Oryzias latipes: one gene and its partners. The protein of the gene in region 1 purifies or fractionates together with the protein of each later gene. This does not show direct contact. Links are inferred from orthologs where the notes say so. Each region holds a gene or a part of one and is shown on either strand. Other genes may lie near its edges.

Region 1 (3,500 bases):
CTTTGAGCAGCAGGAGTCGCCCTGCTGCTTCATCGTCGCGGTGATCAAAAATCCCATACCGTCACCGCTCTAGTTTGGCTCCAAAATGGTGCCGTCTCCATCACGACAAAATGGTGACTGAATTGACTTAATTTTGTTGGCGCCATAAGGGTGACATCTGTCCCTGTGAATGGAATTAATCCATCTGTCAATGGATGGAATTAATAAGCTTTAACCTTTCAGTCCCAGACTTTTACCTTATGTTCTGTTAACCTAAACTTAAACATTTCTCTAATGCAAACATAACATTTCATTTCAAGCCAAGTGGCAACACTAATATCAAAAGCACAGACAGATTTTAGAAAGAAATCGTTGCCATTTCTAACAGGTTCTGGGATTGATGTTTATTTTAAACTTCACTTTCAAATGTTTAAGAGAAATAGATTTTTATGACTTGTTTCCATTGCTCATAAACAGACCAGATAACCACATACTTGTCATTGGAGATGCTGCAGTCAATGACCGTCTTCTTGCTGGTGTTGACGATGATAAAAGGAAGGTGGATGATTGAATTAGGGGGTGGGGGTCTGTTTGCTTGCTGCTCCGACTGTCTGTTCCTCTGAACAAGGTTCTTAAAAGCTATTTGCTGCAAAAACAACAAAACTTATTAAGTTAGAAGCGGCACAAAAGAGGAAGATTGCATTTTGACTTTAGACAGCTTTTATGTAAAGGGAATAAATAAAACATAACTAATAAAAATATTCTTTAAGCTGTGAAGTTCTAAAAGCTAGAAAGGCAAAAGGCTTTTGAATTTCATGGCTTTGGCGTTCTTGAGCTCCACAGACCTCTCAGCCTCTCTAGCATAAGAGCTGCAGAGGACATATATGCAGAAATCAGACAAACACAGACATACAGGTCATCGACCTCTACCTGCAGAATAAGCTCCTGAAGCTGTGACTGTTTCTGCTTAATCCTCTCCAACCGCCTTTGTCTCTCCACCTACAAAAGTAGCGACCGAGAGTTGCATCAGAGGAAAAAAGCCAGAATTGGCACACATGTTTAGACCAACCCTCACAATCGTCCTCACCTCTAAATTTTGACACTCTTGCGCTGAGTTGGTGGGCAAACCAATCCACTTGATTTCCTTTTTCTCTTTTGAGATGATGTTCATGGCCATGAGCACGTTCAGTGCATCATAAACACGCCGCCGAATATTCTTTTGGTCGTATACATGCTAGGAAAAAAAAAGGATTTAAAAGATCATTTAAATGAAAGTGTTTTTTTGTTGTTGCGGGTTTGCACCGCCTCAGCCTTTACCGAGTCATTGGGTGACATGTGGTTGTCTGCGGAGCTGAACTCAGCAACTAGTTCATCTGCCACTTCATTGTAGGTAGTTACTCCTTTCTTCTGCACTTTCTCACACACTTTCATGGAGAAATGCCTCAAGCCTTTTCCGTTTTTCTCTCCTTTCTTACCACGCTTTCTGCAAAGGAAGCATCAAAGCACGCTTCAACATTTACAGCAAACAACTTTCAAAGTAATCACATTACTTTAAGATACATTTGGAATGCATTATTTTATCAGGAATGACTGGCTAAGCTAAAGGCATTTGAGGACTTACCCTGATGACCAAGGAGAGGCATCTGCTGTTTGAGTCTGAGTGAGGAACTGGGAGCTGGGTGTGTGTGGACTGTTCACCAAGATCGTGTTTGATACTGATGGTCTCTGGGGCGTTCCAATCACCTATGAAAACAAGAAGATGACGGAACATTAAAGACTCAACGTGACCTTGTGAGGACTTTAAATTAAAGCCCCACTCTAATGAATATGGTGTTGTTGATTTTTTCTAGCATGTTCTTGTGGCATTTTTCTGATGGAGGACATACAAAAAAGAAAATTGATCTCATAATTGCATTTCTGAGTATTTTTCTAATCAAGTCATTGTAAATCAGGTGTTAGAAAAAGAGCTAATTTGTGTCATAGACAATACAACAGGTGGGCCACAAGCTTTCTGCTCTGCTCCATTCTGATGCATCCACTTGTAGACCAACGGATCCATGACCGTCTTTGTTTTCCTCGTCTGAGCTGGAATCTGGATCTAAACTGTACGACTGGACAGCTCCAGTTTTGCTCACCATTTTTGTTGCACTGACTATTTCAAAATGAGGTTGTGAGGCGCAGTAAGCTAGCAGCAGGGCATTTAAACAGATGGGTGATGGGAAGTGGGGGTGGAGTTGAATTTCTAATGAACAAATGCCGTTATGCAGAAACTGTCCTAGAAAACGACACAGGTATTGTGATGTGTCAAAAAAAACGGCATAATCATAATGAAAAGGCCACTGGCGAAGTTTTTACAATAGATCAAGTAACGATCAGAGTTTGACTTTAACATGAGCTCATCTCTGAATTGATGCAAAATGGTGAAATCTTAATCTTCTTTTTTTTATTAAATACTAAAAATTTGCTTTAATAATAAGAGCTAGAGAACCCTGAAAGGGCGCCTGATGTTAAGCTTTGTCCTTATTGGAACAGGCTGCATAGAGCTAAATACTCTAGATGTTATATTCATAGCAGGACTGTTATGCAACAGCTTACATGTGCTGGAAGGAACAGTCACTAACTCATCTGGGATGGAACAGATAATCAAACTTAGTTTACAGTTCAAATAGTTAGAAATGTAATGAATTAAGCATTTTATGTGTGCTACAGTAATGTTGCAAAGGAGAGTTTGTAACATTTTGGCTGAAATTCAACTGTAGTTTCCTAACAACTCACATTAACGTTTAGATGGTTTGTCTTGGTCTGACACTTCACTTTTTTTCTTCAATCTGCTGCTTTTTCATTTTAAAAATCGCTAACTCATCTTGCTTTTTTACTTAACCATTGTGCTATCTCCTAGGCACTTTAACGTTGGGAGTTGGGTCATCTAGACCCACTACACAGTGCTCTGAACCTTTTTTCTTCAATGATTTGTGATCTTCACTGGTGTCCATGGATTACATGAAATCTTTCCATCTTTATCCACCTTTTTTATGGTAGGAATAACACATCAATGTAAGGGTGGGGTCATCTAAGATAGCACAAGGGTTAACCAAAAGGGCAAAGGTTTCAGAAAAGTCCAAGACACCTTTGAGTCTGATTTTACCAGCTGAACAAGTAAAATATTTTAGTACCATCACGAGTCTCACAGGAAATTTTAACAAATGTGATCTGAAATTATTTTGGTGTGAAAATAATCTTAAATACGGAAATAAATTGTGTTAAGAAAATGTCAAACATCTATTTTTGGAAGTTTAGGAATATTTAAATTGAGATTGAGCAGCTGGAAATGTTTCGTTTGCATCCAGAATGAACTTTAGACCCACAAACTCAAGACTTTCTAATGTCCTCTAAAACTAAACCAAAGTGTAAAGGCTAGCTTAGGATGTCATCTATTGGACAATAATTGTTTTTATTGTAATAAACACTTAAAAATGAATTTCACAGCTCATCCAGTCCGAACTGTGTTTAAACTCGGACTG
Region 2 (4,231 bases), on another chromosome or scaffold:
TTTTATTAATCATATACATGACTTTTTTTTAAGTAACATAATTGCATATATTTTGGATAAATGATCTGCAATTGCCATGTTGATTTCTAAACGTTATTTTTTACATAATAATTTAAGTAATTAATCTTTGTCATGTGCTTAATTGATACCTCAGGATTCTTAATTCTGTCTGATAAAAGCTAGGAGCCGGATATTGATAAATCATGTAATAAAATGGTTACGGTAGATTAGGGGTGGGATTATATAAATTTGCTTCCTTCCACTCCCTTTCAAGCAATATTTATTATGCCTAATTATCATAAGTTTGGTTCGCCATTGTATGAATGTATAACTGGTGATTGTATTGTTTTTGTGTATGATTCCAATTTGATTGCTTGAAATAAACCATTAAAAAAATTGTACCAAATGACTAAACAACTCCAAAGTTTTACTGTAATAAAACCCAACTGACGCAAGTAGAAAACATGATGCCGGCTTAGTCCAGTTTAGAAGGCATGTTTTTTACCTACAACTTTTCAATGTTGCACATATAATTTTATTGGACAAATGAAAACACATCAACAATCCTCCATGATGACCAAGAACTAAGATTTCAAGTCACAACTTCAGTTTTAGGTCAACAACACTAGGCGTTTATCTGATTACCCGCGACTTTTTATAGGTTTTATTGGAAGAAATTCCACTCTTTAAAGACGTACCGTCCATGGGAGGCTTTAGGTCTCCTCGTTCTTGGCCAATAGGGGTCAAGTCATCTGGCTTGGGTTTGGTCGCCAAAGATGGGGGAGGGGGTGTTTTCTTTCAATATCTTTTGTGAGCCAATAAGCAAGAGTGGTGAATCCAATTATCATGTACAGACAATGCAGGGCTGCCCCTTGCTGTGTGCCACTTTCCTTATTTTAGGAAATACGTTTACAAATGTGTGCTCTATTGTCACCAGAAATATAAATTCTGAAGGAAATGGAGTTCTTTTAATAACTAAATGACACTTTTTACAACTATTTTGGGATCTATTTTAGTAAATATGTACAATTCAAAGTTAATATTTGTTTGAACTACAATTTCACATTTAGTTGCATTCCTTTTGTCGTACTAATAGTCATTTTAGTCCATTTTAATTTGGATTCATACTCCAAATTGTAAAAGTTTTGAGTAGTTTGACTTTAAATGTAGTATTTTTGCTTGTATTTGGTAAAGTTAAGTGCTTAAAATTAGTTTCTTAATATTGGTTTTTTTTGTTTCTGTAACAAACAGTTCAAGTGAGACAGCTTAAGGCGCGTGTGGAGAATTCGTGTACTGTCTCTTTAAGAAAACCAGGCCCTGCCCCGAACAACTGTTTTATGCAAATATGACAAGCCGAGCGTGCCACCAGCCAATCAGGGGCGCTCTACAACCGCGGGAGATCCGAATTTCGCGGGACGGAGTTTGGCGCTAAAAAGACTATTCAGCTGCAGCTCCTGTCGCGTTGAATGGAGAAGGGGCACCCCGAGGTGGACTGACGGCAGCCGCACACTGGGTCGGAATCCGCAGTCGGAAGGACTCACCAGAAGTTCTAGCGTTTGTCCCCGAGACGCATTTTCGAGTCGAACTTTAAAGTCCCGCATGTTTGAAGAAACTAATTTATATTCGGAATCGTTTTTGGATCTGGTAAGACAAGTTAAATACGACTTATAAAAAAACGAACTAAGAAGAGGAACGAATCTATCAACGATTATTATTAGGAAACAGCGTCATATTGCGGATTTAATTCGTGCATTTTATTTTGAAAATATTAATTTAGTATTTGCAATTCTTTCTTCTTTTGTCGACGTCTTCTTCGGGGATAATATTATTCTCTAAAGCCGGTGATCGTCGCGCTGGCCCTAACGGCGCGCTTCTCTCCCCGCTTGACCAATCCGGTAATTGAGGTTTTCCTCGGGAAAATGATGCGGGTGCCTAAAGGCGTCTCTCCGGCTTCGGTTCGGCCAGCAGTGGCGCTCGCCTCCCAGCAGAAAATGAAGGTTTTGTCGTCCGGAGGAGTGAAGAGCGACTTCTTCAGCACCGGACTGTCCAGCCCGCCCATGCACGCGGTACCGATCGGGTATTTCACCCAGATCGGTAACACGGCTGCGGCCGAACAAAGAGCCAACAGCCTGTATTCAACCCCCCACGGCCCCGAGGCTAAACCCATCAGATCATCCTCCGGGCGGCTGCCGGTAAGGAGCATTTCTGCAGCTCATTTTTCTCTTATGAACAAGGGATTTCTTGTGCCCATGTGGGAGGAATAATGCATGATTTCCATCGGCATGCGCAGTTTTGCAATTATGTTTTGACGCGATAAGCCACAGAGGGGCCTTTTTCCCCCATGTGTGTGCATCTCTCCACGCAGTCCAGCTGTATAGCTGGAGCAAGCCAGTGTGATTGTTTTTGATGTGGCAGATAAAGAGGAAGGGGCCCCCAGTTTGATCTTGTTTAGAGGTCCCTTGCGAAAAAATGTAGGATGAGTGGCCCCCTATACTGCAGTGAGTCAGGATGGCTTACAGACCAGAAGACAATACTGAGGGCATGGCTGTGCTGGTTGGAGGCATTATTTCCCTTACTCCTGCATTTGCAGACTACACCCAGAGACAGCTGCTCCATCTGCACCTGTCAGTTAACCAGTGCTGGACCTGTGTAACCTGTTCATGCAACTGCAGGAAGCAGGGTGTCATGAGTGAGCAACTGTTTGCTTTCCCCACAGAGCTTTTTGATTGAGGAAAAAAAAAAAAAAAAACTTCCATTCACTATGTTTCCTAAAGGATTATGCTGTTGATCTGCTGTGGATTCTGATCCACATGCATGCTGCCACTTCTATTAAAATCTCCCATCGTTCATTTAGTTGTTGGAGAGTGTGCAGGCTCTTCAAATCTCACGCTGACCCCTTGGCCCAGGAGCGTGGATCCACTAATAGGCCCTCCAAGAGGATTACTTGGACAGTTAGAAATAGGCTACCACCTGGCTTATCATATGTTGAGGTGATTTTACTGTTCAAGTTTGCGTTTTTACATCTCATAAAGGCATTCTTCTTCCTCATCCAGCATTAACACCAAGTTTATAGCTAAGTCTTAAAAAATACACCAGGATTTATAGGTTTTGTCTCCATAGATATTGTGTTTATTCTGTAAAACAATGATCATTTTTAACATTTTTCCATGTGTGCATGCTTATTTCAACAGTAATAGAAGAACTTTAGAGTAAAACGTTTTCGGAAACTCATATCGTTGGCTCTTTTTTTGTATAATTGGGAGATCTTAGATTCTAAGATGTTTATAAATGTGTATTATAATGAGTTATAAAAAATAAAGAAAAATCAATGCAACACAATTTCTGCAGAAATGACACATTTATAAACACACGATGCCTCTTCAATGAAGTGTCATCATAAATTTCACACCTTTACTGTCATTATATTGTAATTATCAAGTGAAGATGCGCAGATTTTCTCCATTGAGGGTTTATTTGCACTTGATCTGAGCCGCGGTGTTGTTTGAAGCGATCTCCTGGAAACTGGGTTTTGCCATCACAGCTGCTTGGGTGCAGGCCTTGTGTTTACAGGAACTGCTGCATATGCAGCACACTTCCTTTAACAACAAAATAACCACCACTCTTTTGCATTTCTGCCTCATAAACGGAACCCTAGCCCTGAGATCCCATAGACTCAACCTTTCAACACTCTGTAGACGACATGTACAAAAAAATAACATCCTTAAGTTGATTTTGAACAGCTTTTGTTGACTTTAGCTGCAGATGTCTCACATTTATGTACCAATCATGCTGTGTAGTAAACGTCAGTGCATCATTGACTTTTAACCAGGGTGTGGAGACAGTTCAGAGTGTTATGAAATAGAATTTCCTTTTGGGCTTGATGATGATGCAAAATGTGTTACAGTCTTCAGGCCATCACTCTAAAGGTCATGGCTGGTCTTTCACTTGGAGTTTTCAGATGCCCCGCATGCATCCATTTGTCTACTCAGGATACCCCTGACAAAAATACATCACAGTTTATCCACACAATTCCAAACCAGGAACTGTCATGTTCATGTAGTTTAGTCAAAATCTTAAAAAGAAATACAATAGATTAATTTTACACCATACATTTACAATACTGTTTAGTATTAAGGGATGCTTCAACCTAAATTCTACATTTTGATCTGCATGCAGAATCCTTGCTAATGTTTTTAGGAATGCTTCTCTTGCAGTTTGGTCATTAAAGACC
Region 3 (4,013 bases), on another chromosome or scaffold:
CCTTACTTCTGGGTGTCTTTATGCGCGTCCCGTTGGCCGCTGGGCCCCCCCCTCTGCTGCGTGGCGTTCTGGCTGGTTCTAACTGGTACTGGTGGTCTGATTCATCAAGAGCCAACCGCCTCTTTGCCTGGAGGAAAAGGGTTATAAGAAAATATGGTTTTCTGACAGATGCTGGTAGTTTCATCTCCAGGGTTGCTCAGCTCAGTTTGAAGCTGAATTGTCAGACGATTCCCAAAACATTAGTACTATTACTTACATCAGGTTAGGGGAGGGGCTCGCCCCCACCCCTGAAACCAACTGCTATGAACAGAGGTGCAGAGGCAGCATCTGGACGGAAATTTACCCCAAAGCGTGTGGGCAGCTGTGGCTCAGAACGGACATATGACATTCTGAACATCAGCAGGTTCTTTGGGATATGTGTGTAACCATATTCTAAAAAAATCTAAACAAATGTATGATCTATGCATCCAGATTGTGTGAAAGACCACAAAAATGCACAAGTCTGAAAATCAGAGCGGGACGGCCATCATTTCACCTCAAACTTCATGACCAGTTGGCGTTCAAGCAGCTTTAAAACAAGACACCGTCATGATGGTCTCCGAGGGAAAAGAACCGTAAATAAAATAAAGAAAAAAAAAAGAAATACAGGATATCCCGATTCAAAAACTCCAAAATAAATGTTATAAAACATTGTAATGGCACACTTAAGTCATTGTTAAAGACCCCACTCCTATGAACTCGTGTTTTTAGCAGCATTTAAACGCATTATTTACACACAAATCTGGAGACGTCAACAGGGTCTCAAATCTGATGTGTGTGTGAATGTGGTTTTGTGTGTGTGTGTGTGTGTGTCAGGCGATTGGTCCGTACCATTTCATTAGATTAGGCTGCAGTAGTTTCCAGGTGCGTGTGCAGAAACTGTAATTACTTTTTGTAAGTTTTTAATATTCAATTTTACACACAATTGCAAGTACGCACAAAATGTATTGTATGAGTTACAAATAAAAAGAAATCAAATCAAGTGAGACTTTATTGTCTTCATGGTAACCATCCATAATAGAGCGACTATAAAGAGCAGAGTTGCTGCTTTCCTGTTTCCTGAACCTACAAACCCAACTAGAATCTATGGAGTTGGACCCAGAAACCATCAGTTTTCTGTGTTGGGGTCTTTAATATGATTCAAACAAATGAATCTAGGGGATGATTCCTCCTCAGAGGACAGAGAAGATGCATCTTCCACTAAACTTGCAATGGCATATAATTTATCCTTCAAAGTGTCAGCCATTTTAAAAAAATCAGCAGGAGTCTGTCTGGCTGCTCGTGGCTTCAGTCTGAGGTGCAGCCTGCTGGGGGGGGGGGGTTCGTGAAATGTGGAGAACACAGAAACCCAAATGTTTTCTGAACTCGTTTATCTGCGGTTCATGCATGTATGTAGAGAGAAGAACACATGAAACGTGCAGTTAGTTCCAAAGCAACAAGCTCGGGTTTCACTTCTCCTTCACTTGAAAGGAACTAAAATGTCACTTAAGTCACAGAGGACGTCAAAACCAGACGACAAAATAAAGGGGGGGAAAGGCAAGCAATGAGTTATTTTTGACAAAAATTTAATTTTATGGCGCTACTAGCTTGGAAAGCTAATATTTCTATAAGTTGGTTTGCCCACTTGGAGGAATCTATTGAGTAGTTTCGAAACAAAGCAGCTGCATTAGCTCAAATTTAGGAAGGTTCCCCTCCTCTTATGTCGGTAGAAAGCTACGAAAAGGGCCGAAAAACTCAACAACCAAGGTCTCCAATCCCACATAAAGACACCAACAGCAGCTACTAGGCCAGCGCTACCGTTACTCATCTCTTACCAGTACTTCCATCTGGCTGCAAAGGTGAAGAGGACCCTGAGCTGGGTGAAGTTAGCGAGTCTTATCTTAGAAGGCAGGGGGGCATTTCTGTACACGCAAAACTAGCTAAAGCTGGCGTTTTGCCCCCAGAAAGTTGACGAAAAGACTCTAAATCAGCCTGTTTGGGTAACTTAAGCTAGCGGTAGTTAGTTAGCTACATCGCTAGTCGTGGGATTGCCCTGGCTAAGCAGCTAACGTTAGCTGTCTAACAACAAGCTCGGCTAGCTAGCGAGCTAACATTTGTCGTACTTATGTTGGGTTCGTGAAAAATGTTGAGTGTTATTACCGGTGGTCTCCCCAGAGCGGGTCGTTGTCCTGCTCCGTTCGCCGCCGCTTGTTGTGGAGTTGTGTAAATGTTGTTGACCTGAGCCTCGGATAAACACACATTTGATGTCTGTGTAATATTGCAAGGCGGTGGTGTGGTTATTATTTGGATATACGTAGCGTTAGATTGACCGGGGTTCAAACGATCCGCGAGAGCTGTTAAAATTATATTACTGTCCAGAGGAGAACCCCCGACCTCTGCTAAAATCACTTTGTCCGGAGCCGAGGAGATCCCTCTTCTCATCTTGCGTATTCAGGGTAACCCCTCTCTTGTCTCTCAACTTTTAAGCCCGTGCGGCCGCTAATCCGTCGCAATGATTTCAAAAATAATCAGCCCAAAGTGTAGATAAACGTCTGAATGATCGACTTTTAAAAGTAAATTTTCCTTAAGAAGGTGCATTTAGGCAGATGCATCGGATTTAAAAGTAGCGCAACTCTCGTTTCCACCGACTAGAAATGGCTTCAGGAAACGGCCTGATGAATGAAGGGATACGGTTTACGCGCTCAAGAGCCCTCCCGCGAAACTCAGATTTCCCGGGGAATTTTCAAACTAAATTTACATGTCCGTCGCCATTGAGCCTTAGCTCAGGAGTTCCCGCCCACATCCCGACCGAACCGGCCAATTGGAGGACAGAGTTCGTCTCGCCACGTGCTCATTGGCAGTTGTAAACATGTGGCGTCACTTGTCACGCCTTGCATGCTGCAGATGTAAACGCCAGGTGGCGCCAGCAACACATTTTCCTCCAAACAGTAAGGCTGTTCGAAACGGAACGAAACAATTCAAAAATATGAATGCCAATGTAAAGAAAGCAGGTAATAGATTTGTTAATAACCATAAAAATCATTTTAATTCTTTGTTATTAAACGACAAAGATATTTATGTGTATTTTGGCGCTTAAAGTTAGAAGTGATTAAAAGTTGGGTAATAAGTTTAACCTTTATTTAAGAGTGAATAAAACTGCATGCATTTTCAATCTTACATTTCAATATATTCAATTCAATGGTGCAATATTTGAAACATTTTTTACTATGTCCATAGTAAAATCACAAAGAGACACCCTAAAAAATGCTATAAACTGCTTCTTCTCATGTAGAAAGAAAAAAACAACAATCACAATTATGTACAACATTAAAAACCACTGTGACACCAGCTTTTGGTTGATGTCATTTGGATATGGAAATGGTGTATAACAAAAATCAAAACAAAAATAAACCTAAAGACGACAATCAACAGAAATATATAACTACATAATACAAAGATAAGCCAATATCAAACTGGATAATTTGTCATGAAATGATTGAAAAATAGACACACATACATCCACATACACCTGTAAATAATGCAGTTATATTTACAATGAATCCTAAACAGTCCTAAATGCTCTTAGACCTACAGTACATCACACATTGAAACCATTAAATATTAAAATTGTCCAAACGAATTTAATTGTTTGAAAGTGTCAGGAACTGGTGATGGAGGACCCAAAATGCAAGAGACCAGGCTTGGTGACAGAAAATAAAACATTTAATAAACAAACTGAAAATTGACAAAACCCACGGCGCAACAAAAAGGTGACCTGACAAGGCAGAACTTGTAACCATGCACTTAAATAGGCTGAGGGCAATTAACTAAAATCACGACATCTATGGATCATGATGGACGAGGAACTGGTGTGACTGAGGGCATCTCAGAACCTGACCAAAAGTCACAAAAACCAAACAAAACCACAGAATCCTTACAGAAAAGGAGCGAGGCAACCCGATATAATCCCACCCTTATTATATTTTTCTGAACCT

What was found.
Region 2: the proteins of tfdp1 (region 1) and e2f2 purify together in Homo sapiens (affinity purification with mass spectrometry; 3 studies listed by BioGRID and IntAct, with this or other methods). This does not show direct contact. The link is inferred for Oryzias latipes from reciprocal best matches to the Homo sapiens genes TFDP1 and E2F2.
Region 3: the proteins of tfdp1 (region 1) and e2f3 purify together in Homo sapiens (affinity purification with mass spectrometry; 3 studies listed by BioGRID and IntAct, with this or other methods). This does not show direct contact. The link is inferred for Oryzias latipes from reciprocal best matches to the Homo sapiens genes TFDP1 and E2F3.

Annotation. Positions count from the first base shown.
Region 1 is NC_019879.2:10,679,511-10,683,010, forward strand, and holds part of tfdp1 (transcription factor Dp-1), read right to left. Parts: intron 1,723-3,500; coding exon 1,601-1,722; intron 1,463-1,600; coding exon 1,297-1,462; intron 1,214-1,296; coding exon 1,067-1,213; intron 979-1,066; coding exon 910-978; intron 626-909; coding exon 474-625; intron 1-473. UniProt on the Homo sapiens protein: Can stimulate E2F-dependent transcription.
Region 2 is NC_019880.2:9,280,218-9,284,448, forward strand, and holds the start of e2f2 (transcription factor E2F2), read left to right. Parts: upstream 1-1,431; 5' UTR 1,432-1,919; coding exon 1,920-2,192; intron 2,193-4,231. UniProt on the Homo sapiens protein: Transcription activator that binds DNA cooperatively with DP proteins through the E2 recognition site, 5'-TTTC[CG]CGC-3' found in the promoter region of a number of genes whose products are involved in cell cycle regulation or in DNA replication.
Region 3 is NC_019874.2:11,042,082-11,046,094, reverse strand, and holds the start of e2f3 (transcription factor E2F3), read right to left. Parts: upstream 2,801-4,013; 5' UTR 2,461-2,800; coding exon 2,179-2,460; intron 2,141-2,178; exon of another isoform or gene 1,866-2,140; coding exon of another isoform or gene 1,854-1,865; intron 128-1,853; coding exon 7-127; intron 1-6.